4 linked regions of the Tamandua tetradactyla genome follow. The protein of the gene in region 2 interacts with the protein of the main gene of each other region in a biochemical or structural test. Links are inferred from orthologs where the notes say so. Each region holds a gene or a part of one and is shown on either strand. Other genes may lie near its edges.

What was found.
Region 1: the proteins of ACVR2A (region 2) and SYNJ2BP form a complex in vitro, tested with the Homo sapiens proteins (2 studies listed by BioGRID and IntAct, with this or other methods). The link is inferred for Tamandua tetradactyla from reciprocal best matches to the Homo sapiens genes ACVR2A and SYNJ2BP.
Region 3: the proteins of ACVR2A (region 2) and GDF2 form a complex in vitro, tested with the Homo sapiens proteins (2 studies listed by BioGRID). The link is inferred for Tamandua tetradactyla from reciprocal best matches to the Homo sapiens genes ACVR2A and GDF2.
Region 4: the proteins of ACVR2A (region 2) and BMP2 form a complex in vitro, tested with the Homo sapiens proteins (3 studies listed by BioGRID and IntAct, with this or other methods). The link is inferred for Tamandua tetradactyla from reciprocal best matches to the Homo sapiens genes ACVR2A and BMP2.

What each region holds. Positions count from the first base shown.
Region 1 is NC_135338.1:28,569,441-28,576,454, reverse strand, and holds the start of SYNJ2BP (synaptojanin-2-binding protein), read left to right. Parts: upstream 1-4,005; 5' UTR 4,006-4,140; coding exon 4,141-4,204; intron 4,205-7,014. UniProt on the Homo sapiens protein: Regulates endocytosis of activin type 2 receptor kinases through the Ral/RALBP1-dependent pathway and may be involved in suppression of activin-induced signal transduction.
Region 2 is NC_135329.1:117,679,278-117,686,981, reverse strand, and holds the start of ACVR2A (activin receptor type-2A), read right to left. Parts: upstream 3,020-7,704; 5' UTR 1,132-3,019; coding exon 1,038-1,131; intron 1-1,037. UniProt on the Homo sapiens protein: On ligand binding, forms a receptor complex consisting of two type II and two type I transmembrane serine/threonine kinases.
Region 3 is NC_135339.1:8,348,215-8,356,131, forward strand, and holds the start of GDF2 (growth/differentiation factor 2), read left to right. Parts: upstream 1-4,905; coding exon 4,906-5,242; intron 5,243-7,838; coding exon 7,839-7,917. UniProt on the Homo sapiens protein: Potent circulating inhibitor of angiogenesis. Signals through the type I activin receptor ACVRL1 but not other Alks. Signaling through SMAD1 in endothelial cells requires TGF-beta coreceptor endoglin/ENG.
Region 4 is NC_135327.1:54,115,576-54,123,540, forward strand, and holds the start of BMP2 (bone morphogenetic protein 2), read right to left. Parts: upstream 3,018-7,965; 5' UTR 2,141-3,017; intron 965-2,140; 5' UTR 958-964; coding exon 615-957; intron 1-614. UniProt on the Homo sapiens protein: Growth factor of the TGF-beta superfamily that plays essential roles in many developmental processes, including cardiogenesis, neurogenesis, and osteogenesis. Induces cartilage and bone formation.

The sequences.
Region 1 (7,014 bases), on a different chromosome or scaffold from region 2:
TCTTTAAAAGTGGAAGCATTTTGGAGAGAGAGAGAGCAAACGAGAACCACGAGAGTCCAGGCAGCCTGAGACCTTTGGAGATAAAGAAGGAAAACGCCCCTGGGGGAGCTTCATGAAACAAGAAGCCAGGAGAGAAAGCTAGCAGATGTCACCATGTTCGCCATGTGGCTTTCCAGTTGCAAGAGAAACCCTGAACTTTATCGGCCTTTCTTGAGTGAAGATAACTTCTTGTTGGTGCCTTAATTTGGACATTTTTATAGACTTCCTTTAATTGGGACATTTTCACAGCTTTAGAACCGTAAACCTGAAAAATTAAATTCCTTTTTTAAAAAGTTATTCTATTTCTGATAAATAGCATTCTGGCAGCTAGCAAACTAGACCAAATACATAAGATGATTTTTCAGCAGTGGCCATTCATTATTTTGCGTTTATGAATCTGTAAGAAATTGTCTTAAATTTCAAATGTTCTGCTAATTCTAGTCCTTTCTTCGCTTCCTCAATATCACCTTTTATTGCTGAAATAAGTGATTCTAAAGAATCAAAGTTCTTTTATGGTCTGAGTTTGCCAACAGCCACCACATTGAGTATTTCCTCAATTCCTCTTTGAAGGTATACCTGATGTGAGTTTCCATGGACTTTTTCGTATTCTTGTATTATGGGTTCCATACTATGCTCACTACCATCTTATAGACATCTCCACTTCCATCTCTGGCCCAACCATAATAAATGACATTGGCTATATCAGCTGGAAGATTATCTACTTGTTCAGTAAAGTTAACAGTGGGGATACCCAGCTGCTTGGAACCAAGACTGAAGCCCCACCTGGCTGTGGCAGAAGTAGGGCAGGTGCCTCATGATGCCAGGTGCTGGTGGTGCGTGTTCGGCCCAGACCTTGGGTCTGGCTGGGTCACCGTGTAGGTGATGCATGAGCTCTCCTGGACCAACCGGAGGCCACGGAAAAGAGATCGGCCACTCGGGTGCACAACTGGCTGGGTGGCACCGAGGAAGCACCCTGGTGGATCGCTCATGTCACTGACCCAACAGAAGCTACCGGGCGCTTGGGAGGTCACGTCTAAGCCCCCAGGGGCAGCGGCGGCGTTAAGGGCGGGAATGGGCAAGGAACACTACTCAGGTGGGCCGGCAGCACGGGAAAGACCCGATCCGCCCGGATGCTGTAAGGCTCGTACACTCCCAGCCCTCTTCCTGTTAACACACTGTTTCATTTGGCTAGAATTGTGGCAGATAGGGAAGGAGGGAGGGGAAGGTGACTTTATGACCCATCACTAGCAAAGAGTAAAACAACAGGAAGTTCCTTTTGGTACATGAACATCTACTCTTCACTCCAGTTGGCAATGGAAAAGAACCAATGAGAAATGCTGCTCTATCCTTCGTCAGCATAAACAAAAGGGGAGGGGTCCCTCCAAGTCCTTATAAATGCAGGAATCCCAACCCCAGTAGACACTCGCCCCCTTCAAGCCAGTACTTTTGCCACTTATTAAACTTTTCTTGCTGTTCACACTGACTAGTCCTTGAATTCCTTCCTATGACTTAAAAATTAGGCTCAGGGCGTCAGCCCTGCTTGAGGTCTCCACCTCTTGGAGAACTCCTGAGGGCTCTCTGGCATCAGAATGACCTCCTCTTTCTTTGTCAACTGACACATTTATTCTTTTAAACCTGACTCAGCCATGACTCTCCAATAAAATTTTCTCTGTCACTACCAGATTTACTCCCAGACATGGTGAATTCTTACCTAGTTCAGACTACTCTATATTTTTGCTTCTTGTAAATGCCTTTATTACTGTAGATATCCTACCATGTTAACATAATTTGTAATTTTACCATTCTACTTCTTTTTCTAAACTGAAAGAGACGTGCACAGTAGAAGATGTTTTTTTCCTCTTTTCTTTTTTTAATCTTTTAATTTTATATCTACAGCATCTAGCATAATGCCTGACACATTATCAAGTGCTTAATAAATTTGTGTTGAATCAAATTAACTGAGCTGTTTTCCTGAGGAGAACTGGAAGTGAGGATGTTGTGAATCTGATTGAGCTTTTTTTTTCCTGACTGATTTTTAAGTTGAAAAAATAAATTTTAAAATTTCATCTTATTTAATTCATTCAACAGTCTTTTAAAGAGCTATTATCACACTCTTTCAGATGGGGAAACAGTTCAGAGATGTTAGGCTACTTGCCCAAAGCAAACAACAGGAAGGAGAAGGAACTGAAACTTGAGATCATGTCTTCTAGCATCATCTCCTATATTCTTTCCATTATCCATACTAATTTCTTTCAGGGTTAGCAAACAGGTTTTCCTGTTGAATGCCTCTGTCTTGTTTTGTTTAGTGAATACAGTTTTTGGTTTGTTTTTTTAAATCTGAGTTTGAATTCCTTTATGTTGGACTTCAATTTCCAATCCTTCATGGTCTGCACCAATCCCTAGAGTCTAGCTCAAGGCTGTGCCACACATTCAAGTCACCTTCCTGGTCCTTACTGCTTTTGAGTTTTTGACTATAGCAGGTTCCTTTAAGCTGAATCTGGAATGTCCTATCCCAAAAGTCAGGAGGGCTGGGCTGAAATCACAACAAGGTAGTACATATATAGTAAGGGTAAATTTTTAAAAGATTTAATTTTTCTGTTGCCAAAAGAGAAACGGACATTCCCCCTCTCTCTTAGAGAATTTGAGAAAACTTGTCATTGTAAATCCTTCCTCTGTCCCTTTGATATGAGTATAAATCTTTTCAAAAGCTAAATAAGCCTCTCGCTTGGTACATCCCAAAGATATTTTTCTTAAGGGTCTGGGAGCCAACTCTTTGAAATACATATATCAAGGATGATAGTATCTCTATCTCCCATCACCAGAGACGCTGTTAGTCTATGCACCTTCCTCTAAGTGGTAAGTACTTGCTTGTCATCAGGATAGGGAAGTTTTATTTTTCATTTATTAATTAATGCAGACGGCCACCTGCAGAGTGCATTACCAAATAATGTACACCAAACTGTATTGTCAAGTAGTCTTACCTGAGAACATTCATACAATGAACTATATCTGGGCGGGGGGGGGGGGGGCGGCACAAAGCTACACCAGACAAAGTTAAGCAGACAAAGATGACTTATTTAGGGGCTACCATAGCAGGAGAGAGAGAGTGGAACTCAATTCCATCTAAGGGCTGGGAGTCAATTGGAAGAAAAGCACTGGAAAATAGTAAGAGAGATTGATCACTGGGGTAGGTGAGCAATTAACTGAGGTTGCATTTAGGGTGGTTTGATTCCACCTAGATAAGTAAGGGATTTACTAATGTTGCCATTAGGACTACTAGGTCTGCAATGTTTTCATTTGCGTTATTAGGTGGCCTGGAGCCTAGAAGGGCCGGGAAAGAGAAAACGGGCGAATCCCTTATTGAGTAGCCGTGTGTGAGAAAGAGAGAGACCGGGCGGTCCGGGCAAGTTTGATATTTAGAATACAGTCCGACGTTTTCTTTCTTTCTTTTTTTGCTTTCCCCCCCTGCAGTCCGAGTTGTTTTTCTCTGCTGACCCTCAACTCCAAAATTAGCTTCAGGATAGTCAGGGGCAGGAAGCGGGTAGGGGCAAATGAAGGAGTAATGCTGGCAGTTTGGTCAAGAGAAAGGGTCTTGATTACATCTGTTTGGAAATATAAAAAAGTGAGGGTTCTTTCTGTCTGCAATCTCATTAGCTGCCTGCTTGTAATATGCATTACAGACAGATTTAATACTTATGAATAATAAAACACTTTTTCATTTCTATTTTTTATGGAGATTTTCTAGGTTGGCAGGGTATTTTATTTTTACTTTTTCCCCAAGCATAACACTTCATTTCTGTCCCTTACCTTTCCAATGCCTCTCCATGCTTTCAACAGTAAATCAGGATCGCAACCGCTCCCTGCTCACCTCAGGTTTGGCTTGGAAGAGCGGGTGAGGCGACGCACCGGGTCGGGACGAGAACCACGACTCCCAGCATTCCCAGCGCTCCAGGCACCCCCCACTTCCCCTTCCGGTCCGGAGGCTGTTGAAACCGAAAGTGCTGTACCATAGGCGGGTGTAAAGGGGTGACTGATTCACCTTCACCTGTAAGGAGCTCTACCTAACCCAAGTGGGAAGCCAGGAAAGCAAAGCAGTAAAACATGAATGGAAGAGTGGATTATTTGATCACTGAAGAAGAGATCAGCCTTACCAGAGGACCTACAGGTATGTGCCAAACGGGTCCTGCCTGAATTGGGGACTTGGGGGTATAAGTGAATAGCAGACGCTTCTGCCCAGCCGGATTCACTTGGTCTCGGAGCTTGCAGGCCCCAACCTAGAGTTTTCCTGCAACGCTTGCCGGTACCTAAAAGAAATATTTTGACAAACATCGTTGCCCAGACACGGGACTCAGCAATTCATCTCATCTTTCACTCGGATTACCCCGCGTATTTGAGTTAGGAAAGTTTTTTTTTTCCCCCATTAACGGGGCAGAAAAACCTAGAAGAAAAGGCACACGTGTTTTTAAGCCAGTTTACCGTGGATATCACACCGTTCTTTCCGTTGCCTGCTCTATCCCAGTTCCTATGAGGGACCATTTAGTAAAACTGGGAGCATGAACGGTATGGATTCGGAATGCATAGCTGTTTTCGTAGTGCTAGGATCTCCTCTCTTTTCTTTTCTGGGAAAGTCATTTAGAGCCTCAACTAGAATGTTAAAGCGGAAAGAAGCCTGAGGGAACTTCTGTTATAGCAATTCTCAAACCTAGTTCCGCCTCAAAACATCCAGGGTTTTTTTGCCCCCCCCCCCCCTTTTTTAAATAAAAACGTCAATTTCCGTTAGGGATATGAATTCAGTGTGGATTTTTTTCTTCTTTTTAAACAACACCGCATGTAATTCTGATACAATTCAATCTACGATTATCCCTGCTAGCCTCCCTCTTTCTCTCAGCGCTCACCCCTGCCCCCTTCCCTACACACACTCTTAACTCCACTGGGCTATAAATAAATCATCAAGTCCTATGAGTTCTATCTCTGAAATGTTTCTGAAATCATTCCACTTCTTTCTGTTCCCATCATCACCTCTTAGAATTTTTCGATAGCTTAACCATTACATTTATTTGTAATAAAATGTGACTTTCAGAATAAGCCATACTTTGTCTTCCTGTTATAAAAAATTAGAAGTAGACTTTACTTAAGAGAATATCACACTCATAGTTAATCTGCTCCATTTGAGCTCCTAAACTTTTGTCAGAGGTTCATTTATTATGCTCAAATCTCTTGAATTCATTTTTCTTATTTTATGTAAATTTCTCCTCTTATTCTTAATAGTTATTGACTTTTCAAGGTAACATGAAAGTTATTATTAAAGCAACATCTGTCTTTCTTTGCTTTTCATCTGTTGGCCCTAGTTCTTTTCATAGAGCCAATGAAAACAATGCAGACCTTAACTTCTTAGTGTTAGCATTTTTCTGAATCATTGGAGTTAAAATAAACTCCAGGGCACTACTTAAATGGAACAATTATATCTAGCTAATTAGAGACTCAGTTTCTCTATTGTATGTGTATTTATCCACAATGAATGAATATATCCATGGTGTGGCTTCTTGAATTTTCCTAAGCATTTTCATGAGAGCCCATGAATTTAAGAGCTTAGGACAATAGCTCCTCAAAACTAGTATTGAACCTGGATGAAGAAGTCATTGGAAGTCAAGGAAAGGTCAAGTTCCTGTTTATCACTTTCCAGAGCTGGCTACGTGGTATGTGGTACTCCCGAGAAGTCTAAGAGTCAAATTCAGCTTTTCTTCATTGTATCATATGAAAATATACAGGGAAGAACTCAGTTATCACTAGAAACTTCCAGATAATTTTGGTCATCCCATAGGGATCTTTCTTTCTATAGAAAAATAGGAAAAGCCACTGGTTACAAGTATGCATTTCTGTTTGTATGCAGCATTCTCACTTCTTATGATATCCTACCAGGAATCCAATAGTTTACTTTTGCAGCACGTAGCTTCTACTGTTTGGGCACATTTTGCAAGGCAAAAGAACCTATTCCTCCCTGATCCTGCTTCTTGCAAGGGAAATAATGAATGGCAATTAATTGAGTGTCTGGGAAGACAAGAAGAAGCTTGGCATCTATCTTGTGCTTACTTCCTCAACTGAAAGGAAAGGCTTGGTCTAGAAGACTTCTGACGCTTCTTCCTACTCTAACAGTTCATGATTCTTTGGCTTATTCCATATATTATTATATGATTCCTACCATTTTGTACAAACTGTGGTTGATCTGAAGAATCCTCAAAGGCAGTGGTTACAATCTGAAGTGCCTTCAAGGTTTGGACATTGACCTTTTATCTTAGTTTGCCAGAGCTGCTATGACAAATACCATACAGTAGATTGGCCTAAATAACAAGCATTAAAAAAATTGTCTCATGGTTTTGAAAACTTGAAGTCCAAAATCAAGATATTAGCAAGGCCATACTTTCTCCTGGAATGGGTAGCAATTTGGTGATGGCATTCCTCTGTCATATGGTGTTCTGCTTCATTCTCTCCTTCTGTGGCTTTCATTGACTTCTGATTTCCCTGAGCGCTTCAGAATTTCCTCTTTTAATAAGGTCTCCTGTCATATAGATTAAGGCCTACCCTCATTCAGTTTGATCACACCTATATAAGGACTATACAAGATCCTATTTTCAAATGAGTCCACTTCTTGACTCACTTAACATTTTCAGATATATCATTGACATCTGTGTTCACACCCGCTGGAATGTTGATTAAGACTTGAACTAGTCTTTTGTGAGGTATATGATTCAATTACCAACAGCTTTTATTCTTTGTGGAATACGTCACTTTTCTTTTTGTGGGAGCCCAGCTTGGTTATAGTCTATAAAGCTCCCTTTTTTTTTTCCTGTCTCAAATTGAGAGTTTCTGATATTTGAATGTTGAACTCAGTTATTCTGAGAATTAAATCTAGCTTTTCTTTACTCGAGCAAGTAGAGGTTGGCAAGAAGACAACCTCTTCATTTAATAATAAATAAT
Region 2 (7,704 bases):
ATACCAAGCAATCTGACTCCAATGATCTTAACTTACAAGCAACACTAACTTAATACTACACTGAATGAATCTCAAAGAAATTAGAGCCAGCTGTTATATTTACATATCAACAAGCAATTATAATATAGAATAGTGAGCAATACACAGAGGTAAGCAATGGGGCCGAAAGATAGCATTTAAGTCTTCAGATATTACTAGTGGAAACTAATTCCATATGGGTTAGTAATTTCCATTGCAGAAGCAAGAATCTCAACTCAGGCTGGGAAAGAAGAACACATTTTATAAGGTATGCCATCTTTGCATTCAATTAAACCAGGAATCTGTCTCTTAGGGTTTTTTTACTTTTCTAGTTAAGAACAGCCTTCCCATCAATCCTTTTCTCCTCAAGATAATTTCAAATCAGGTTAGAGTTCAGAATTAGCCCGAATTAGTTTTCACCATACTTGTTAACTCAATATATAAAAGAAACTAGATGATTTAAAGACACATATTATGACTTTTAAGTACTTATATTTGGTAACTAAATCTGGACTAACCAAATGTTGCTTAATGGACACTTTTTCTTAAGAGAATTACTTTTAATTAGCATATCAAAGCTACTAGTCTCCAAAGCCAAGAATGCTGTTTGTAACACAATTTAAAAAGCAGGTCCTGTTTTACTTACACCCACTAATAAACTGCCACCTGGGGTCAACCCTGCTGGGACCCAGGTGGCGTTGCTACTTCGGTTTCCCTCTTCATTCCCCGTACAGTTAAAGGCACGATTATGTTACTTTTCTCCACTAACCCTCAATTCTCAATTTTTTGTTATGTCTATTAATTAAAAGTCCATACTGATGGTAAGATATAAAGGAGCAGGGTTAGTAGTACAGAGGAAGAAAGAGAAAAAAGCAAGGCAAAATGATAGAGCCTCCTCCTCTCTTATATATTGCGTCGTTCTTCATATAGGATCCCTAACCATTTCCTTCACTCCTTTCCAGTGGTCCTAATCTTATTACTTTAGTCAAACCATTGTCTTAAGAAATCAGGTGAGCTACCTGAATTGGGACTTTTTTCCCCGGTGAAACAAACTGAAGTCATGCATGGCTTCTTTTCCTGCAAGGAGAACATGGCATAATGGATGAAGCACATATTCTAAACTACTGTCAAGCCTCTGTTTGAATCTCAGTTATGAGGCTTATTAGTTTTATGATCCTGTTTTTTCATCTTTAAAACAGGTAATTTCCTCATAAGGCACAGCACCAGAAACACACTATAGCAGGCAGTGAAGAGGTTTTTTTATATTTTTCATTTGGCTCTTATATACAATAACGGAAAATTCCAGGATCAGTGTGGTAGTTAGGTTCAGGTGTCAAGTTGCCTAGGTGATGGTGCTTAGTTCTATTGCTGTGGACCTGAGACAATAGCATGTAAACGTCATCTGTTGCTGATTACGTCTGCAGTCAGCTAGGAGATGTGTCTACTGCAATGAATGATGTTTGATTTAATTGCCTGGTGCTTAAATGAGAGAGTTCAACGTAGCACAGCCAAAGCATTCCTCTTCTCAGCACTCACAACTCAACCCAGGCCTTTGGAGATGCAGAAGGGAATCACCCCGGGGAAAGCTGTTGGAACCCAGAGGCCAGCAGAGACCGCCCTGTGCCTTCTCATGTAAGAAAGAACCTCAGTTGAAAGTTAGCTGCCTTTCCTCAGAAGAACTATAATGTTAACTAAAGAGTATATAATACTCTTTTATTGAAAGCCAATGCATCTCTGGTGTGTTGCATTCTGGCAGTTAGCAAACTAGCACAATCAGTATCTCAAGTCCTGTAGAATACAGCTTTGATATTCTCCTGACCAAAAACCACATTAAGAAATACATTTTTCACTGTGACCCAGTACATACACACATATAATAATATTACCCTATTTATGAGTCATTCTAATATTTCCTATTTTATTACTTTCTTACTTTCTCCAATGGGTTAGGACCTACAATTTGAAAACAAACTAACTTGCACTCTATCTCTCCCCTCACCCTTCTGCCATGCTCTCCCCTTTCTAATCAAATACATAAAGCTCTTTTTACACATATTCACAAAGCTGATCCTCTAATTCATATGAAATTTCAAGGGCCCCCAAGTAGCTAAAACAATTTTGAAAAAGAAAAAGTTAGAGGACTCACATTTCCCAATTCCAAAACTTTAACTACAGTAACCAAAACAGTGTGACACTAGAAGAAGGACAAATAGACCAATGGAATAGAATTGGGAGTCCAGAAATACACGCACACATCCGTGGCCACTTGACTTTCAAAAAGGGTGCCAAGTACATGCAGTGGGGAAAGATGTCTCTTCAACAAATAGCGCTGGGAATACTAGATTTCCACTGAAAAACGAAAGGAAGTTGAACCTTTCATACCTCACACTATATACAAAAATCAGCTTGAAATGGACCAAGAATCTAAACATGAAAGCTAAAATCATAAAACCCTTATGCTATAGGGACAAATCATCATAACCTTGCATAAGACACCAAAAACATGAACAATAAAAGAAAAAAATAGATGAGTATGTGTGGTAGTTAGATTCAGTTGTCAACTTGGCCAGGTGAAAGCACCTAGTTCTGTTGCTGTGGACATGAGCCAATGGTAGGTGAATCTCATCTGTTGCTAATTACATCCGCAGTCGGCTAGGAGGCGTGTCTGCTGCAATGAGTGACGTTTAACTTAATTGGCTTGTGCTTAAATGAGAGAACGCAATGTAGCACAGTCTAGCAGCTCAGCATTCCTCATCACAGCACTTGCAGCTCAGCCCAGGCCTTTGGAGAAGTCACCCTGGGGAAAGTTGTTGGAACCCAGGGGCCTGGAGAGAAGACCAGCAGAGACCATCCTGTGCCTTCCACATAAGAAAAGAGCCTCAGTGGAAGGTTAGCTGCCTTTCCTCTGAAGAACCAACAAAATAAATCCCCTTTTATTAAAAGCCAATCCGTCTCTGGTGTGTTGCATTCCAGCAGCTAGCAAACTAGAACAGAGTTGGTACCGGAGAGTGGGGTGCTGCTACGGTTTGCAAATGCCAGATCTGTTGGAACTGTGTTTTGGATGGCTAAGGGGAAGACTTTGGAGGAACTGTGAAGAGATTGATGGAGAAGTCTTGGAGGGCTTGAAGAGACTGTTGGTGTAAATGAAACCACCGCCAGTCTTGACAAAGGAGGACACAAAAGGGAGAGGTTGGAGTTTGCAGAGTGAGAACCATGGAAGTTCGTGTCTGAAGCCAAGAAACCTCGGCCAGGAGAGTGGGCCCACCTGTATGTGTGGAGAGGGTGAGTCTCCCCTCTCATTGCAGTGGAATAGTTGTGCAGCCTCGGGCCTTGGAAAAGGCATAGCACGCTCCTTGGGGGACTGGGAGAGCCTGGCTGCCACCATGTGGAGGGGTTGAGCGTGCGCCCCAGAAATGGCAGAGAGCCCAGGGGTGGCCCTGATGCCTGGAGAGAGTGGAGCCCAGAGGTGGTCTCCTCGATGTTCCCCAAGGTTGATTTGGAAAGAGGCCGGCCACTGCATAGGCCCTTGGAAGGGGTGGGACTGCCACTTTCTACAGCCGAAGGATAAATGACTTTCAGACTTGGAAATCCAATGGTGTTTGCCTGCAGATCTTCCTTCCAATTTCTCCCTATGGAAATGAAAATCTGTATCCTTTGACTATCCTCCTTTGCATATTGGCACCGGACTTATTTTGAGATTCACAGGTCCACAGCCAGAAGAGAATATTTTGCACCTGTTTAAGGTGATGTGAGTAGCTGCCAAGTTGACAAGGGGTGGACATGTGGTAGTTAGATTCAGTTGTCAACTTGGCCAGGTGAAAGCACCTAGTTCTGTTGCTGTGGACATGAGCCAATGGTAGGTGAATCTCATCTGTTGCTAATTACATCCGCAGTCGGCTAGGAGGCGTGTCTGCTGCAATGAGTGACGTTTAACTTAATTGGCTTGTGCTTAAATGAGAGAACGCAATGTAGCACAGTCTAGCAGCTCAGCATTCCTCATCACAGCACTTGCAGCTCAGCCCAGGCCTTTGGAGAAGTCACCCTGGGGAAAGATGTTGGAACCCAGGGGCCTGGAGAGAAGACCAACAGAGACCATCCTGTGCCTTCCACATAAGAAAAGAGCCTCAGTGGAAAGTTAGCTGCCTTTCCTCTGAAGAACCAACAAAATAAATCCCCTTTTATTAAAAGCCAATCCGTCTCTGGTGTGTTGCATTCCAGCAGCTAGCAAACTAGAACACCTTATGCTATAGGGACAAATCATCATAACCTTGCATAAGACACCAAAAACATGAACAATAAAAGAAAAAAATAGATGAGTATGACTTCACCAAAATTAAAAACTTTTATACATCAAGAAAGCAAAAAGACAATCTACAGAATGGAAGAAGATAGCTGCAAATTATATATCTGATAAGAGGTTAATATTCAGCACATATAAGCAACTTCTACAACTCCATAACAGAAAGACAAATAACCAATTAAAAGATGGACAATAGATATTTTTACAAAAAAAAAACAATTAAAAGATGGAATAGATATTTTTACAAAGAAAATACACAAATGGTCAATAAGCATATGAAAAGCAGCTCAACATGGTTAGCCATTAGGGAAATGCATATGGAAACTATAAGAAGATACCACTTCAAACTCACAAGGATGGCTATTATTTTAAAAAGGAAAATTAAAGTGTTCAAGAGGATGCAGAGAAATTGGAACACTCGTGCATTATTGGTGGGAATGTAAAATGGTGCAGCCATTGTCGAAGGCCTTGCTCCAGACCCACACTGTCCAAGAGAACTCTCTGTAATGATGAAAATATTCTCCATCTGCACAGCCCCACATGGCAGCTGAGCACTCAAAATGTGGTGAGTGTGATGGAAGGAGTGCAGGTTTAATTTTATTTCATTTCTAAACAGCTTTATCAGGGTATGATTGACATATAAACTGCACATATTGAAAGTAAATAATTTGATACGTCTGGGCATAAACCTGTGAAACATTAACACAGCCACCCCAAAGTTTTCCCATGCCTTTTTTTTTTTTCATTTTTTTTTTTCTACATGGGCAGGCACCGGAAATCGAACCCGGGTCCTCTGGCATGGCAGGCAAGCATTCTTGCCTGCTGAGCCACCGTGGTCCGCCCTTTCCCATGCCTTTTGATAACCCCTCCCAAAGGGACACTAGTTCCAAAGGGTTCCGAGGTTCAGCCCAGTGCAAGTGAGCACTTTAGCTGAGACTCTTCACCAAGGATTAGAGAATCTTCACCAAGAAAACTCACCTTTCCTCGCCTCCAGCCAACCCTGTGACCTCTCCATCATGCACACACTGAGGACCCCATGTTGGAAGTAAGTGCAACAAACATCCACCTCAGATGGTTCCTCAGAAAGTTAAATATGGAATTACCATATAACCTGGCAAGCCCACCCCAGGTATATACCCAAAGAAATTGAAAAGATGGACTCAACTTTCATAGCAGTGCTGTTCACAACAGCCAAAAGGCAGGAAAATAAAACAGTTGTCCTCAACAGAGAAATGAATAAACAAAATGTGGTACATACAGACAATGGAATATAATTCAGCTGCAAAAAGGAATTAAGTTCTGATATAAGCTACAACACGGATAAACTTGGAAAACATTATGCTAAGTGAAATAAGAAAGGCACATAGGGACCAATATTGTATGACTTCATTTACATGAAATGTGTAGAGACAAACTGGGGAGACAGAAAGTAGATTAGAGGTTTCGGGGGGATATGGGAAAGTTGTCACTTGGTGAGTATAGTATGTTGCTAATTTTTGTAAATTTCTGAACTTAAAAAGAAAAAAATCAACTTATTTTTAGTCTTGCCATCACACCACTCTATTGGAGCCCCCAGAAGCTTAGAGATGGCTACTTCCCAGAATGTAAAGTTCAGCAGGCAGAGAAGACAAATCAGGGAAGAAGGAAATTTTGATAATGCTGAGGAGAGTGCCGGTGTTCTTTCTGGACAAACAAGGAAAACTAAATCCATTTTCCTTAGAGACAGTGTTATTCCTGGGGTAAAACTGTATTGCTGAAACACAGAACACAGGAAGTAAAACTGGCTTGTGCACTGGTCTTGGCACTTAATCAACACATATAACAATGATTCTATAAGAAAATACTTCCTAGGTTCCAAGCAAACTTTTTGGAACACAATATATTTCTAAGTTGGAGGAGGGATGCTACCAATACAATATTCTTTGTCAGAGACAGGCAAACTATATAGCCTGTAGGTCACATTCAGTCTGCAGACTGTTTTTGTAGAGCCCCCTAAAAAATGGTCTTTATATTTTGAAATGGTTGAAAAAAATCAAAAGAATATTTTGTGATACAAGAAAGTTATATGAAATTCAGATTTTGGTGTCTAATAAATAAAGTTTTATTGGAACACACTAATAGTCACTCATTAACAAAATATCTATTGCTGCTTTCATGCAACAAATGCCAGAGTTCAATAACTTCAACAAAGGCTGCCTAAAATATTTACTATCTGGCTGTTTAAAAAAAAGTCATGGACCCATGTCCTACGTGCTTGAAAGTATTCAATATTCATTTACAAATATTTATTAAGCACCTATTTTGTGCCAGGCACTGGGGAAACTATAGTGATGAAGACAGATAAGTCTCCTTCATAAGTATTAATGGAAGGTAAAAGAGAAAAAAGCTCAGGAGGAGTTAAAAAAATACATGGCTTCTAGGAGAAACCACCAGAGGACCAATATGGCAAAACATAAGGTTGTAGATGGGCCATATCATGCAGTGCCTTGTAGGCTGCTGTAAATAATAAACATTTCTCTAACATTTTATATGCAGTTGTTTACAGATTAGGCCCTTTATTCACAACTTAAAGATAAATGTGTATCCATAAAGCACCACAAATCCTGAGTCAGAAGTGTAATTATAGTTCAGTTGAACCCGTCCTGTTGCTTTCTACTCCAAATAATTAACATATCTGATTTAACATTTTGAAGTTTAAAGAGTTTCATATATATATATGAAACATATATATAACACATATCATGTATGTGTATATATATATTTTTTTTTCAAGGTAAAAGATAAATGTATGTTTATTAGACTCCTAAGAGCTCCTTGTTATAAAGACTTTAGTTTAATAACTTTTAATTACAAAAGCAATACTCATCAGAAATAATTATAAAATACATTTTAAAAAGAAGAAAATAAAGCCATAAATTCACCACTAGAGAGAGGAAATCATTCATATGTACCTATGTAGTCTTTCTAGACCATGTATGTGTATATATATATGTATGTATTGTGTGCATGCCCTCACTTCTGTGTGTAGCCTTTCATCCCCACTGTAATCTTGTAAGGAGGTTTTATAAACTCTACTTCACCAATGAAGAAACTAAGGTTAAATTTTCCCAAGGTCACATCATATATCATCACACCCTGGTACAGAAAGGCTTTCTCCCTGTAGAATGTTTGCTCTTTCTATTACATCAGTGAAAAAAAATTGCATAATTACTTTCACTGAATTTGAAGGTAAAGGAAGTTCTTACAGATGTTTGTATTTTCGAGAAAACTATCCTTGCCAACAACTAACATTTGTACCAAGTTTTATTTCCATTAACCAGCCCTTACTGGCAAATCTCATGCTGTTACATGGCAGAAAATTCTATAATCTGTAAAAAACTAGGTTT
Region 3 (7,917 bases), on a different chromosome or scaffold from region 2:
AGTCAGGACCAATGAAATACCAGGAAACTTTCACGGTGACTTCCCAGACAAGACACCTTGCCCGCTCCCCCCTTCCCCTGCCAACCCCACTGGAGGTGTGATGATGGATGCGGACCTTCCCAGCCATCCTTGTAGACACAGAGGTGGATCATCGGGATCCATGGCGGTGGAAGCAGGGCTGAGAGAGGAGGAAAAATCGCTATGATTTTGCCTGTCCTGGAGCTCAAGCTGTACTAAAGCCGAATCGCGGTTGAATTTTCCAGCCCCCATTTGACACTCACAATCCTTTTTTGCTTAAGCCTGTTTGAATTCTCCTTTCCTGCGACATGCAACAACAGGAATTTAAATGATACACAACTTTACAAACAAAGTAAGGAGCATACCTGTATAGTCCAAGCTTGTGCACATCACACCTGGATACCCCAAGTGACTTCAAGTATGAATCTAAGGCAAAAATTACAGACACTTTTTCCCAGTGTCTCTTACATTTTTTGCCAGTGGTTCCTGTGTGTAAGATCACAGACATAAAATTATTATAAATCAGGTCTTCAGTCTTTGAATAATGGCATGGAAGGACTTCCCTAGAAAATCCAAGTGGCGTGGTAAAAATAGTACTCCATTTGGGGGAAGAGGAGGGGGGGAAAGAAGAGCTGAATACAATATAGTTTTAATTTTTTCTTTTTATTAGTGGTTATAGATTTACAGAAACATCATGTGAAAAATACAGGGTGGTGTAATGACCTGTAAAATATAGTAGCAGAATTCTGGCTTACCATGCCAGAGACCTGGGTTGGATTCCTGGAGCCTTCCCATGCAAAAAAAAAAAAAAGATGTATACACAGATACATAAATAGATAGCATTTTCATATACCCCCTGTTGTTGACATTTGGCATTAGTGTGGTACCTTTGTTACATTTTGCAGGAAAACCCTGGATCTTCTGGAAAAGACAGAACAAGACCCAAAGAAATGATGAAAGAATATTAAAATTGTACTACTAACTATAGTCCATTGTTTACATTAGGGTGTATTTTTTCCCATATACCGCCCTATTATTAATACCTTGTAATAGTGTTTCATTTGCTATAATTCATGAAAGAACATTTTTGTAATTTTGTAATTAACTATAGGCCATCATTTATAATAGGGTTCACCGTGTTGCACAGCCCTATGTTTTATCTTTTAATATTTATTCTAGTAAAGATATATGACCTAAAGTCTCCCTTTTTAACCACATTCACATATATAACTGTTGCTCATTGTTCTCACAATAATGTGCCACCATCACCACCATCCATTTCCAAAACTTTTCAATCAACCTAAATAGAAATTCTGTGCAAATTAAGTGTTCACTCCCCGTTTCCTACCGCCCACCCAGCCCCTGATAACCTAGATTCTAACTCTGTGAGTTTGCTTTTTCTAGTTATTTCATCTCAGGGAGATCATAAGCTATTTGTCCTTTTGCGTCTGGCTTATTTCACTCAACATGATGTCTTCAAGATCCATCCATGTTGTTCCATGTCTCAGAACCACATTCCTTCTTCATGGCTGAAAAGCATCCTGTTGTATGCATATGCCACATAGTTATCCTTGCATCAGTTGACGTTTGGATGGGCACTTAGAGTTGCTTCCAATTTTTGGCAATTGTGAATGATGATACTGCGAACATTGGTACATAAATATCTAAGCGCCTGCTTTTGTTTCCTTGAGGTCAATATCATCTTTCGGGCTCGATCGAGTCTGCCCCTCCCTGAGGCCCCGGCACTAAACAGCAGCCGGTCACTGAGCGAGAGGGGGGCCTTTTGCGAGAGGATCCTGGATCTTCTGGATAAGGCAGAACAAGGCTCAAACCTTTTCCCCTATGGCCCAGAGTTAGGGAAATCTGTTCTGATAGACTCAGACCTATGTGTACCAAAAGATAACAAGGCTCCTGAAATCAAATCACCTTGAAAAAAGTGGGGGTTGGGGTAGGTGACCCAGGCTCACCATAGAAACATATGGCTTGTCAAGGAGGGCAGGTTGGAATCTGGAGCATTGCCACGGCTGCCTCTTCTCTCCACCCAGCTGCCCACCACAGAGCTGTGCCTTCAGGAGGATGGGTTAGCACTAAGTGTGCCTAGAAAACTGTGCCCTTGGTGCCCCCAGGAGATGTCACCATCACCTGGGGAGAAACCCGGAGAAGCTGGAGCACCCTGGCAGCTGTGTGCAAGCAGTGGTTAGATGTGTAGGGCCCATCCCCAGCGGTAGATGGGACCTGCTGGGACCCCACCTTCCCACATTCAGAAGCTGTCACCTTCCAACCCTCATCTCCTCTGGGTTAAATAAACTCCTGGGGCCCTTGGACAATCCAGAAAGGGATGTCCCAAGAAGGAAAGATTAGAAGTCCTGGCAAAATGGATCTGGAGGCCTCCAGCACTTTATTTAAAAAGCACTGAAGGAGGGGTGGGGAATGGTGGCTCAGTGGCAGAATTCTCGCCTGCCATGCTGGAGGCCTGGGTTCAATTCCCAGTCCCTGCCCATGCCAGAAAAAAAAAAAGCACTGAAGGAGCTGTGGACCCCCTAGTTTTGGGGGTAGGTAACACCAGAAATATGTATTATCCAAGGATGCTGCATTACACACCCACAGGAGGGTCCATGCAGCTCCAAGCATGTCCAGCCTCCAGGGGCATATGTTTTAAAACAATTCCGTAGTCCTTTCCCTGACATTCCAAAATCCAAAGTGTCTTTTAAATCCTTTCATGGCAAAACTTCACCTGAAAGGACATTTATATCTATTTATTTGTTTCACTGCAGAAAATATTGATCTGTTCTCGATTACAGGGTGTTACCCCCAGCTGCACTGGAGATGTTACAAAGTTCGTGCCATATTAAATGTCCCAAATATAAAACTTCCTGAATTCCAAATGCTCCTGGCCAGGGGGTCTCCAGTCAGAGAACTGTGGAGCTAGTTGCATCTCAAAATCTCAACTGCGGCTTTGCGGGGCAACAAGATTTGTGGGTTATTTCCTTCTTTATCATGTCCTGCAGTTTCCATAGTTTTCCCACCCTGTAGTACCATCATCATCAGAAAAATGAAACATTCTGTTACATTTTTTAAATATCAAGTAGCAGCATCTTAACCCTTCCTGAGAGCTTCAGGTGGCTGCCGCTTGTCCCCCTGCTCAGCCTTTTCGATATGAGAGGCATCTCAGGTGACTCCAGGGACCCGAGTGGGGTGAGGGACCCTGCCTAGCCCCCAGTACCTCCCTCCTCCCTGTTCTGCGAGTCGCAGCTCCACTTCCTGGCAGTCCCCAGCTTTGCACCATTCATCTCCTCTGCTGGATGGAATTTTTGCACTGAGCTGGCTCCACACCCAACATGTTTCTTGCTCCCTCTCCAAGCAGCCCTTCTGAAGCTGCGCCCCCTCCCCAGGAGTATCCCCAAAGGATGGGACAGCAAGTAAGTTCTGTCCAGGACCCACCGTTCTGTAACTCCTGGTCTCACCTTCCCCGACTAGGGGTTGGAAAGAAAACTGGGCATGCACGTGGACTTGCTGACCACAGGCCAGCTGTGCCCCCTCCTGAAACTTCCGGAACCAGCTCAGCTCATTGCAGCCTCTCCCCGGGAGCCCCACCGGGGCAGACAATATCACATTCAGATCCTCCCCAGCATTCCTTGCTTTGGTCAAAGCCACACGTGACACGAATGGACAGAGCCTCAGTGCCGCCATCTAAGGGTGTCCTGCTCTCAAAATAGCACAGTCCCTGGGGGGCTGGCAGGCCCCTCTCTACTCAGGCCATAGTCTCCTTGGGTCAGAGGTCCAACCAGGCACCCATCGGCCTCCGCACCAGAAGTCAAGGCACTGCCCCTTCCCCTCCCCTCCTCAACTGCCCAGAGCGCCCTGCTTTCCTGCTGACAGATGTGGCCCCGGCGGCTGCCCGATTCACATGAGCAGGGCCTCCCAGCCTGGGATGCAGGGGCTCCAGCCACAGCAGCTGGTTTGGGGTGTTCCTGCTGAGCAGACTGGGGGGCTCGGGGCTTCCCCACCATGTCCAAGCTCAGCCAGACCCGGGTGGGAGCTAGAGCTCCACCAACCACCAGCCAGCCGAGGCTTGCCCTGTGTTGTCCCTGTGAGAACCACCCTGAAGTCTTCAGACCCCCATCCTTTTGAATCCTGAACACCATCTTCTGGAATAAATACCCTGAGCCCCAGTTTCCAGGTGCCAACCTAGAAGCTCAAAGAGATTCCATGAGGTCATTGCTCAAGGACGAATAAGAGAGGGCATCTTTGTCACCAGAGGGTCTTTGTCACCAGATCTAATTAGACATGCCCTATCCATGCATGTGGCCTAATGCTCCAGGGCTGGTTTTACAAAGGAGGAAACTGAGGCACACAGAGGCAGGATCTGCTTCCACGCCCAGCAGGCGTCTGTGGCCCTAGGCGTTTGGTGTTGTTGCTTCTATATTCGGAAACCTCTCTGGTATCCCTTGTTTCCTGGGTGCTTTAAGTTTCTGAGGCCTGAGAGATGGAGGATGCATCACCCACCCCACCCCCGCCCCCCGCCCCCGGGCCCCAGGATTGCTCAGAACAAGAGCTGGCAAGGAAATGGGAAGGAATCCTAATTAGGGGGCGATAACCCCCCGGAGAATGTGGATTCCTCACAGTGTGCACTGGCCTTCCCCAGGCCCTGCGCCCTGGGCAGATGTTTATAGAGCCTTCATTAACACAGAGAGTCGCTAGATAAGGGGTCGAGCGTGGCAGCGAGGGCCAGATAAGCGCGAGAGGGGGACGCGCTCTGACGGCGCGGAGAGCTTGTGCCGGGAGCGGCAGGCCGATGCGGGACCTCGGGGCCAGCGCCGGAGCCCGCTAAGGCACCCGGGCGCTGCCGCCATCCCCGCTCCGGGGGGCCCAGAGCGCCTCCCCAAGATGTGTGGCGGGGGTCTCCGGGCGGCCCTGCCCGCGCTGGCCCTCCTGTCCTGCTGCGTGCGGGGGAAGCCGCTGGGAGGCGACGGGCGGGCGTCTGGGGGGGCCAAGGCCCCGGGCCCGCGTGGAGGCCCCCCGGGGGTGGGGGGCTTCGACCTGAAGATGCTTCTGGAGAATATGCGGGTGGATTTCCTGCACGGCCTCAACCTGAGCGGGGTCCCCGCCCAGGACAGGAGCAGAGCAGAGCCGCCGCAGTACATGATTGACCTGTACAACAGGTACACCTCTGACAGGTCGGCCACGCCCGCCTCCAACATCGTGCGCAGCTTCAGCGTGGAAGGTACGGCGGGGGTTGCACGGGGCGGGGAGGGTGTGGGGGTCGGCGGTCCCGGGCTGCACCGTCCCATGGGTTGGCCACCAGCCCCAGGAGGCCAACAAAGCCAACCTTTAAACTAAAACTAAATTTAACTTTAGTTCTTTAGTTTCACTAAGTGCATTTCAGGGGCTTAATAACCATGGGTAGCTAATGGTTACTGGGTGGGACAATGCAGATCATAGAACATTTCTGTCAATGCAGAATGTTCTGCGAGCCCCATTGCTTCACAGTGCTCCCTCTCCTTCTTGGATCTCTTATACCCCTTCCCTTCCCTTCCTGCTGGTCCTCTTCCCTCCCCTATCCCTTCCTTTTCTCCCCTTACCATCCCCTTCTCTTCCCCTTCCCTTCCATTTCCTTTCCCTTTCTCCTCTCCTCTCCCCTTCCTTTCTCTCCTCTTTTCTTCCCTTCCCTCCTTTCCTCTTTCTCCCTTCCCTGTCCCTCTCCCTCTTCTGTCCCATTCTGACTTACAAACACTCAACTTATTTAATCCCCTACTAACTGGCATGTTTGAAGAACGCTCTATTTCTCCCTCATGATTTTTTAAAATTCAGGTAAAAACCATTGAAAGAAAAGCTTGGAAAAGAACTAATGTTTGTTTGAAATAAGTGTCTAGGAAGACTAGAAGCTAGCAAATGTTTGCCTCAGGGCAATGCAGTTCACTGGCTTCAACCCCACAGGAAGTAGGGTGAAATGATTTTCGGAAGGGATGATGAGGCTGGAGATGCAAAGGGAATTTGCCCGAGGTGAGGTTCAGGGGCATGACTTCAACCCAGCCCTCCAGTCCCTCCTGAACAGCCCAGAGCGCAGAGCCCTCCCCGCCCCGTTCCCCAGGCTTCAACCCCGGGTCTGTAAACCAGGTGCCAGCAGCTGGCCAGCTTGGTCATATGCCTGCCCAGTGGGGCCAGATCATCTGATTGCTCAAAAGAAGAAGAATCTGGGTTTAGATTAACTTACCTGTTTTTTTTTTAAAAAATGCCAGTCACGGGTCACCCTGATACTGCCAGCATCCCGCCAGGCCCAGGGGTACAATGGTGAACCCCGCTTTAGGGCCAGCTGGTCTTCTTTGGCTTTTTTCCCCTAAATCCCATAGTTGTGAGTCCAGCAGCCTGGGGCTGTCTCACTGGCCCCATCTCAGCAGGGAGCCGGCCACTGGGCCGCCTGTGGTCAGATCCCAGCTTACCTGCGGGTGGGAATCGGGCTTCCCTTTGGGCAGGGTCAGAGCCCGGGGAAGGAGGGAGGGAACTCGCTTCCAAGATGTCTGATTGCCATCCCAAAGCCACATTCGAGGGCTGCCACAGCTCCTGCCATGCAAACATGCGGCAGCTTGTCACATCTTCCAGGAGCCCAAGAGGTGCTTGTAGGCTGAGTAAGGGAACCAGGAGAGCACATGCTTTGTGAGAGCATGCGGCAGGCGTGGGCAAGAAGGGGGTGCAGGGGGGAGACAGAAACGTTTATTGAGCATTGGCCAGACATTGGGTCAGTTTCACGCAGCATTTCGTTAAGTCTCACTTTATCCCTGGGAGGAAGGCAAGACGACCCCCATTCTATAGATGAGGAAACTGAGGCATGGCAAGATCCAGGACTCCAAGGTCACAGCCCTGGTGAGAGGCAGAGACAGTTCTTCAGTCTGCCCGACCCCAAAGCCTAGTGAGTTTTCACAGCAGCACAGGATTTCCCATTCACATGGACCCGTCCTGGGCACTCATAGATTGACATGTCCCTTTTCTCTTTGTGAACTGGCCAGGGCATAATAGAACTTGCTAATGGCCACATGTCACCACAGAAGAAGGGAGAAATTGAGACAATTTGACTGTTAAACAGAAAGCCCCTATTTTTACCTAAAATGCCAATAGAGCTGAGACCAATTTTCTTCCCCTCAAAACACCAAGAAAATCACGCACATGCACTAGGCTTGGAAGACACCATTCCAAATGATTTCTAAAACTGTTTCAGCTGCTGAAACTAGCACGGTCCTAATGTTGTAATTTCAACGTCCCTTTAGAATCACGTACTCGGGGTCTTCACTCTAAGGTTGACAGGGATTTTGTCTGTCTTGTTTATTTGGTAGTTTTTTTCTTAAGTTATGACATAAGTTTACATGAAACAGGTAAGGGCGTTTAAATCCTTCAGATGTCTAAATCCTTAAGATTTAACAACGTACATGTGAAACGGGCAGACTTTGGCAGTTAAGTGCTCTGAGCCCCCGTGTCCACATCTGGAGAACTGGAATTAGACCCTCCTAGGGTAGGAGTGAGAATGAAATGGAAACATATTCCGTAAAGCTCCTCATTCAGTGACTGGCCCATAATGGGCAGTCATAAACAGTTAAGAACTGTCAACCCCATTCGAGGCATCTCCTGCCTTGACTTTTCTTTGGAAGACCCCCAATTCTCCTTTCAAAATACCCTTTTACCCTAAAGGCTTAGGGGAAACTGAATCAAGATTGAAAAGGGCCAAAAATGCACAGTAACTCGCCCCCCAACCCCCATTCATGGAAACCAGGAGACTGGAGGCTTTGATGCCATGAAACCGGGGCCTCCCACATGTATTTGCATTGCAGATGCCATTTCCATAACCACCTCGGAAGACTTCCCCTTCCAGAAGCATCTCCTGCTCTTCAACATCTCCATTCCCAGGCA
Region 4 (7,965 bases), on a different chromosome or scaffold from region 2:
AAGGCTTTCCTTGTCTCTACTCTGAGCCTATCTCAGACTCAAGCACAAGACAAGAAAGTCATTGTGGAAACAATAAGATTGATTGTGGAATTGATCTCCCACGGGGATTAGATAGGGATTCAAAACCTTCCAACCCAGACCCAGATCAACTGTAAATTAGAAAGACTTTAGGGCCCTGGGCTTTGATTTTCCAATACTATCTCTGAAAATTCTGTCCTTGGCTCTGTCTAGCCTGAAACCCTGGCTTGGCACGAGAAGAGATTTATAGAGTAAGGGCTTCCAAACAGACAAAGAAATCCCGATTCTTACCCCCTCCCCTCTCTCCCTATGGAATTCTTGCACGTTTAGCTGACCAGGGGGCATGCCTTCTGCCCTCATCTTCCCCATCACTTGCTTTCTCTCCAGTTCCTGGGGGAGGAGTCGCCCTTCTGGCTGCACGCCAAAAAAAAAAAAAAAAGGTACAGCTTTACTAAGGGGAATCCCTGGCTCCCCCACTGCACAAGCAGTGCCTTAAAGCCTGGTTCCAACAGCGACAAGAGTGGAAACACCCACTGCTCCCTGGCCAAAGTGCCCTTCCAGGAGGGCTTGGTGCGGTGACTCCGCGGGCGGCTCACCTTCGTGGTGGAAGCTGCGCACCGTGTTGGCGCGACTGGCCGCCCTCTCCAGCCAGTGGTCCGGGGCCGGCACTCCCGGCTGGCCCGAGTGCCTGCGGTACAGGTCCAACATATAGGGGGGCACCACGGCGTTTCTGCTGGGGGTGGGTCTCTGCTTCAGGCCGAACATGCTGAGCAGCCGCAACTCGAACTCGCTCAGGATGTCTTCCGAGGGCTGGGACAAGGAGCGGCCCGACGCCGCCGCGAACTTCCTCCGGCCCAGCTCGGGTATGAGGCTGGCCGCGCCGCCCAGGAGGACCTGGGGAAGCAGCAACGCTAGAAGACAGCGGGTCCCGGCCACCATGGTCGACCTGCAGACAGGATCGACGGTGAGTCACCGAGTTCCCGGCACAACATAACCCCTGCCCCTCGTTCGGTCTGCTGCCACCTCCTCCACGGTGCCCACCTGGCTTGCAACACTAACTGGGCTAAGTCAGAGGAGCTGACGCTCGGATATTTGGGAAGAATGGAGGGCCCCTCGTTCCACAGCCCTATGGCTTTCCCCCTCCCATCTCATTCTCAACCCATGTGCCCTCGGATTTGGGTTTCACCCCCGCCCCCATCGTTGCAGACTATCACCTCTTTTCTGCGACACCCACGCTGACAGCAAGTACAGGGAACCTGGGGAAACTGCCCCTGGATCCGACAAATCTGCGTCCCCTATACAAACCCCAAACACACTCACACAGCGCTCGCTTGCATATAAACATGCAAAAAATGGTGCATGTGACTTCCTTAGAGGCACCGTATAGACTTCCTGATACACACACCCACAGTCTACAACTTCCAGACCCTGTAAACTCAAGGCCACAACTTCCGAACAGCATTCGCAACTTGTGACCCACGCCCCGAACTTCGGGGGCGTCAGGGTAGGCTTCCCCACCCCCGCCCACCTCTACCGCAGACAAGATACACATACATCTCCCTGGGATTACGTGAATGACTAATAGCTAATGTTTCACGTGTCAGCTGTTAAAAATACAGTACAAGGAGGCACTGAAGTACTTCCCTCCTCGCATGTCTGGAAACACAGGGAGAACCCCAACTTCTAGTGCTTTTCCAAATGGAACGTGGCTCCACATAGAGAGCTGGTCTCCGGAAAAAAAAACTTGGAGAAGATGGCACTGCTACTGCAGGGGTACAGGTTGGCAGCTAACGGGTGAAATCCAAGGGCCACCCTCTCTAAAGGATTTTGATTCTCTCTTTTTTTAAAATCATCTAAGCGCTAACAGCCCTAATAAAATACCCAGGGGGTCGGGGGTCGAAGAGTGACAGACAGGCGGGCGAGATTACACAGTGGCCGGGGGCGGCAGGATGACGGCACCCCGCAGGGGTTCGGCTGCACGTGGACCAGGAGGGCGCTCTGTTTACGTCCACTCAGCCCGGCCCCTGGGACGGCTCAGCCGCTGCGGCCGTCCGAGCCCCGCGCGGGTCCCGCGTCCACCGCCCCCACCTCCGCTCCCCTGCCCCCCGCCCGCGTTCTCTACCTTTAGGAGGCCGTAGACCGTCTAAGAAGCACGCGGGGACACGTCCATTGAAAGAACCTCCACATGGAAAAAGCTCTGGCCGAAGGACCTGGCGCGGGAACTGGGTGTCTGCTCCCTTCCTTTGCCTTCTCTGCCTCCTCCCGGGCGCCTGCTGGGCAGCGGCCCTCTCCGCACTGGGAACGGCGTTTAGGGGTCCGGACCAGCCGAGGAGCAGACAGGCGGCGGGGCTCAGGGCCGCGAGGCTGGCCCGGCTGGGAGAGAGGCACCGGCACGAGAGCAAGTTATTCTCCCTGCAAGTTCAAGAAGTCTCCAGCCAAGTGCTGACACACAACAACAGCGAGCGGGGGGAGGACTGCGGGGCAGGGAAGGGAAGGGAGAAAGGAAAATCTGGTGCTGTCGTCGTCTTTAGGAACCAGCGCCCGCGGGACGCGTGGCCCCGCACAGGGCCGGCTCCGGGACGCAGGGGGCGAGGGTCGGGCGCTCGGCGCTAGCTCCGCCGCGGCCCATGGCTCGGGGCAGCCATCCTGGGCGACGCCGGTTCCGGGGAGGGGTGCAGCGGCTGCGGCGATCTCGGTGCCGGGCGAGTTGCCCCCCCGCATCACTCTGCCTTACTCCAGCGCACCCCCATTAGCGCTCCACTAGCGAAACCGCCGTGGTTCCGGCGCCCCGTCGTACTCGGGCGCATTCTCCGGAGAGAGAGTCGAGTCGAGTCGAGTCCCCGAGCCGCCAAGGCGGGGTGGCCGCGCTCTTCGAATCCCCCGGTGCCAAGTGCCCTGCCCTTTGTGGCCAGCCTGATGTCCGATCACAACTCAGGCGGCGCGTCCCGGGCCCCAGCACCGCGGCGGGGGGTGCTCGGCATCACGGCGCTCGGGCTCGGCTCCCAACTCCCCGGCGTTCTGCGCGGAGCTCCGCGGCTCTGTCGCGGCCCGGACAGCCGAGGCCACGGCGCTGCGGCGCGCACTGCCGGACGCTTCAGCCCGATCCGAGTGCGCGACGCGGGGGTGTCTCCGAGCCCCCGAGGAATCGGCGCGGCGCTCGCCTCCAGGGGCGTCCGGGTCTGCGGTGGCGGTGGCGGCGGCGGCGGCGGCTGCTGTCGGGCGGCGGCTGCCAATCCCCGGCGGGTTGTGGGAAGCTGAGCGGCGGGCGCAGCGCGAGCCGAACGCGGCGCGGCGGGGCGAGGACTCCGGCGGCGGCGGCGCCGTGGCGCGGCGCTCCCGGCTTTTAAAGGGGACGCCGCCTGCCGGCTCCCTCCCGGCGGCGGCCGAACACCTCCCCCTTGGCTGCGCGAGCCGGCGCAGTGCGCGGGGGATCCCCGAGCGGGCGGGAGCGGCGCGCAGGGGTGTGGACGGCGCGCCCGAGCAGCGACGGCGGGTGGGGCCGCGAGCGGGAGCCGCGTGGCCGAGGGGGGCGCTCGCGCTTCCAGCCCCTGCCCTCCAATGGGAGAGGATCCCGAGCGCCCGACCTCGCGGGGGCTCCCGAGGTGAAATCCGGACAAATAAAGGGTCAGGCCCCAGTTTCCCCGCGGGGCCCGTTATTCAACTTTAGTTTGAAGGTTTTTTCAGTAATAGGCGATTAAAAAACAAACAAACAAAAAACCCATCCAAGTTCGGGGGGATGTCAAAACGGTGGAGTAGACACGTCTGTGTTTTCCCGGGGTGGGGGTAGGGGGGGAGAAGAGAAAGAAAACCTTAGGCTGGAAACTGGGTGTGTTTAAACCCTAACACTTTGGTGTACATAATTATATCGTGTATGTAGATGTAGGAAAACTAAGACGCATTCCATTAATATGTGTATACATGTGAAATAGATGTCAACCCGCTGTATATGACAGATGTGCAAGTGGACTGTGTGTGTACCAGCCGAAGAGGACAGGAAGGAAGGGTTTTATCTTTTTATGGCAGCAATCACTTCGAGCTGCCATATCGATATTTATCTCGCCTGGCTCGGGGGCATGAGATTAGCAGCCCAGAGGACAGTAAAAAGCGCACAGCGTGAGCCAGGCATACAAGATAATTCCGGTTTGGAACTTTAGAAACTTCTGACCCACCCCCCACCCCCCACCCCCCACCCCTTCCGCCCCGCCTCCAGCAGCGAGGCTATGACTTGTGGTCAAGTCGCTTTTCCTCTTGAGCTCACATATTCCCCAAAGCTGCTGCCCTTCTGCCTCCTGAGTCTCGGGGTCAAGGCTTCTTTCTCTCCCAGAATTCCAGGAGTCCCAATAGGTAGCGGTGACCCAGTTGTCCACATGATCCCCTAAGCCGAAAGCTGAAAAATTCTGGGAAAGTTTTGGTTCCCCAAATCGGTTGGCTTGCACCAGAGCCTTGGTGCCTGCAAGCAAAGAGATAGAGAAATCAGATGCAAGAACTAATAATAATCTATTATTCCTGTGTATTATTTTTCGGTTGGGAAGTTAAAATAATTCTAGGTTCTGCTCACATAAATCGGATTAGCAACCCACAGAGGGGAATTAGGGACTCATTGTTTCTGAAGGTATAAAGGTCAAGTAAGGTATTTTGGAGTAAGTTTGCCTACTAGGAAACTAAAAGGGGAGTTTGTGTGCAAAATATACAGAAACGTTTTTCTCTATTCCCTGAAAATAAAGCATAATAAAAGCTAATTGTCATTCTGAATCATTCCACACCGGACAAGCAATAAAACATATTCTTCTCATCGACCCAAGTCAAATAGTGTTTATTGTGCTTTTGAAACGATTTCCTTTCCTATCAGGTTTGAGACGTTAACAGCAGGTTCCGTTATTGGTGAGCTTTCAGTTTCGAACCTATGTAGCCTTGAAAAAGGAGGGGCAAGTTGATCGCTATTGGAAGCACCCCAAGCAAACACGGAAACCAAATTTTGGTGATGACATCAAAGATGTTTTGCAGCTTTAGGCCTTCATGACTTAAGAAAAGAAGCTTGTCTGTTTATGGACTCATCTTTGTTCGTCAAGAATCTGAGGGAAGATGGGCACTGCAGGGCCCTCTATTCAATTTCCGTGTTGCCCATCACAGGATCTCTTCTGGTGGGAATGCAATTGCTGAGAGGCTGCCGCATGCCTTTCCTAAGCACATCTTCCTAAATTTTGGCCTTTCTCCCTTAAGAGCCTGGCTCTCTGGTTGTTTTTTAGAGATGGCTGCCCTCTTGTGGTGGAAATGAGTCAGAACGCCTTCGTGGGGGTGGGGGGGGGGGGAGTCAATACATAAATAAAATAAAAATCATCTCCTAAGGACTGGTTTGGGGTACTACGTCCTGGATGGCCACATCTACTGGTTTTCCAATGCCAGGCAACAGAAATAGTTAAAAACGACACATCTAAATGGAAATAATCTTCCTTTCTTTCATTCTCTTTGTTATTGACCTCCCATTACTTTGAGGGGGCAGTGTGTGTTCGCCTTGAAGATACTACTTATGACTAGCCTTTGTCAACTCTACATTTCTCAGTTTCAGTCAAAGTTATCTCACCCAAATGGCAAGATTCATTCTTCCTTGGTATCAAATTTGGTATGTCTGCCAATAGATGGGGGTAAAGGGGTGATTGGAGGAGAGGTGGTGGTTGCAAATTCAGATGCCTTAAAGGGGATACACGAAAAGCATGCCAGGTAAGGATTCCACATGCAGTAGGTTGTTGCTACTCCATTCCATTTTTCTTGCCAGCTTTTCAACAGATACAGGAAATCTGCATTTGATTGTGTACGGACATAGCCCAAGGTGAAATTAATTGCTTAAAGAGTCATCCTTTGGCAACTTTTCCTTTAGCAGTCCAGCCCAGATAATGTTTAATTTTATTGCATCCTGCAGCTGCTAGCATTCAGCCTTGTTCTTACTAGACCAACCATTATGCAAATTAACATTAAAATAATGATCCCCGCATATTGTAAAGGTCACAGCAGGCATTAAATAATCCATTTACCTTGTAATTGTCATTCTGTTGAAACCTGTGGCAACTTCCCTGAGAAAACTCTTGGCTTTTTAGCATACCTATCATTTACTTCCCATTGGGACACCAGATACCAGTTCTTCACCCAAATGAAGTTCTTTCTGAGGAACCTGGAACCACAGAAAAAGAGCAGCGTCTACTCTAACAAACTCTTACCTATTTGGTGTTTATTTAACTGGACATGGTAGGAGGCATGGATGGAGTGGACATGTATGCCAAGTCAGAGTCCCGGCTTTCAGGCAAATATAGGCTATAATTAAAAAATGTCATCGCTTGTACCCATCTGTTGATAGGGTAAATAGGCTCTGTTCTGCCGCCTCAACTGGTAATGATGGGCTGGAGAATTTTTAAATGTTTATACAAACACAAGATGCCATTTGCTACTTATCTGTGTATCTTTAAATATAGTTTTCAGCTTTCTGCCTGAAATATGGCCTGATTTTGAAAGATAAGATTTTGTATGTCTTTTGTTGTTTTAACAGTTTTTTCTTTTTTTTATCACATTGCTGTACGGTGAGGTATTATGTCATAAAGCTCAACACCTGGATCGATCTAAAGCAATAACTAATCTCCTTTCCTCAGCTTCCTCAGGAATAAAATGTAGAGATCAATATATGACCTTCTCATGGGACTGACATGAAGAATGCATGAAAATATATATGCAAAGACAACAAAAAGTTGCAAAATTTGAATCACTATATTTATGCAAACTAATGTCATTTGTACTTAGAAGTTATATTTTTGGCTTATGTTATTTTTTTCATACTCCATAGAGTCCAAAAATATGGGTTGAATGAATACATGCTTCTGAAAAATAATTATGTCTTCCCAAATACGTGATTTTAGATAGCCATTAAATATTATTTAGTTAACATATGTCAATATATTTGTATATCTAGTCAGTGTATTAAAATGTGTTGATCTTTTGCTAATTAGATTACAAAGCGCCCACATGGTATTTCTCTTTGCATATTCATTCTACAAAAATTTACTGAGCAGCTAGTATGTCCATGACATTATGTCACTCAGGTCCCAGAGAATAGAAAAATACATAATCTTTGCACGTAATGTACTTAGAATTCAGTGGAAGTGATGGAACATGTTCACAGATTATCCATATAAGGCATATGAGATAAGAGTTTCAGAGAAGTGAGAAGCAAGTGTGTCAGGTTTAATGGAGAGCAATCTCACTTTGAAATGTGAGTCCAGTAAATTCATAGTAGAGAGAGCATTTGAAAGGAATATTTCAGGGAGAACAGAGATTCAGTAGGATTAATACTTTACAAATGTCAGCAGTAGCAGTAGCAGGATTTCCAGCAACATCTTTAGTTTCTGAGTTTAAAGAGTTTTACTAGCTGCTTTCTGTTTGTTGTTTCAATGGATCCTCAGAAGAACCTTGCTCATTTGACAGATGCTTAGAAAGGTTAAGCCATTTTCCTAAGATCTCACAACTAGCATGTAGGAAGTCCAATAGCCCATTCTAGAATCCATGCTAATGGTCTCCCAATTCCAGACAGTAGGAGCAGCCAAAAGCCAAGACATCAGGATAGGAAAATGTAGGCTGCTGTTTTGCAGGGCACAAGGAAATGGTTCAGATTTGGAGGAGGGTTTGGATCGGGGTAAGGTAGTTCTAGAAGATTACTCAACTCTCTAGGCAGGGTCCTGGCAGAAAAACGAGGGCCATGCCAAAGAGGCCGTTTCAGAGCGTTTAATAAAGAAATATTTTGCAAAGGTGTGTGTAATGATAAGGACTAGTGATGTACCCTGCCTCTACACTGGGAAGCCAAACCAGGACAGCTGCAAGGGCACAGGAAGAGCAGCTTCTGGAACCCTGAGAATGCGTGTGCTGAAGGAGAAGGCCACTGGGCAGGAGTCTCTTCTAGAGTGCTGG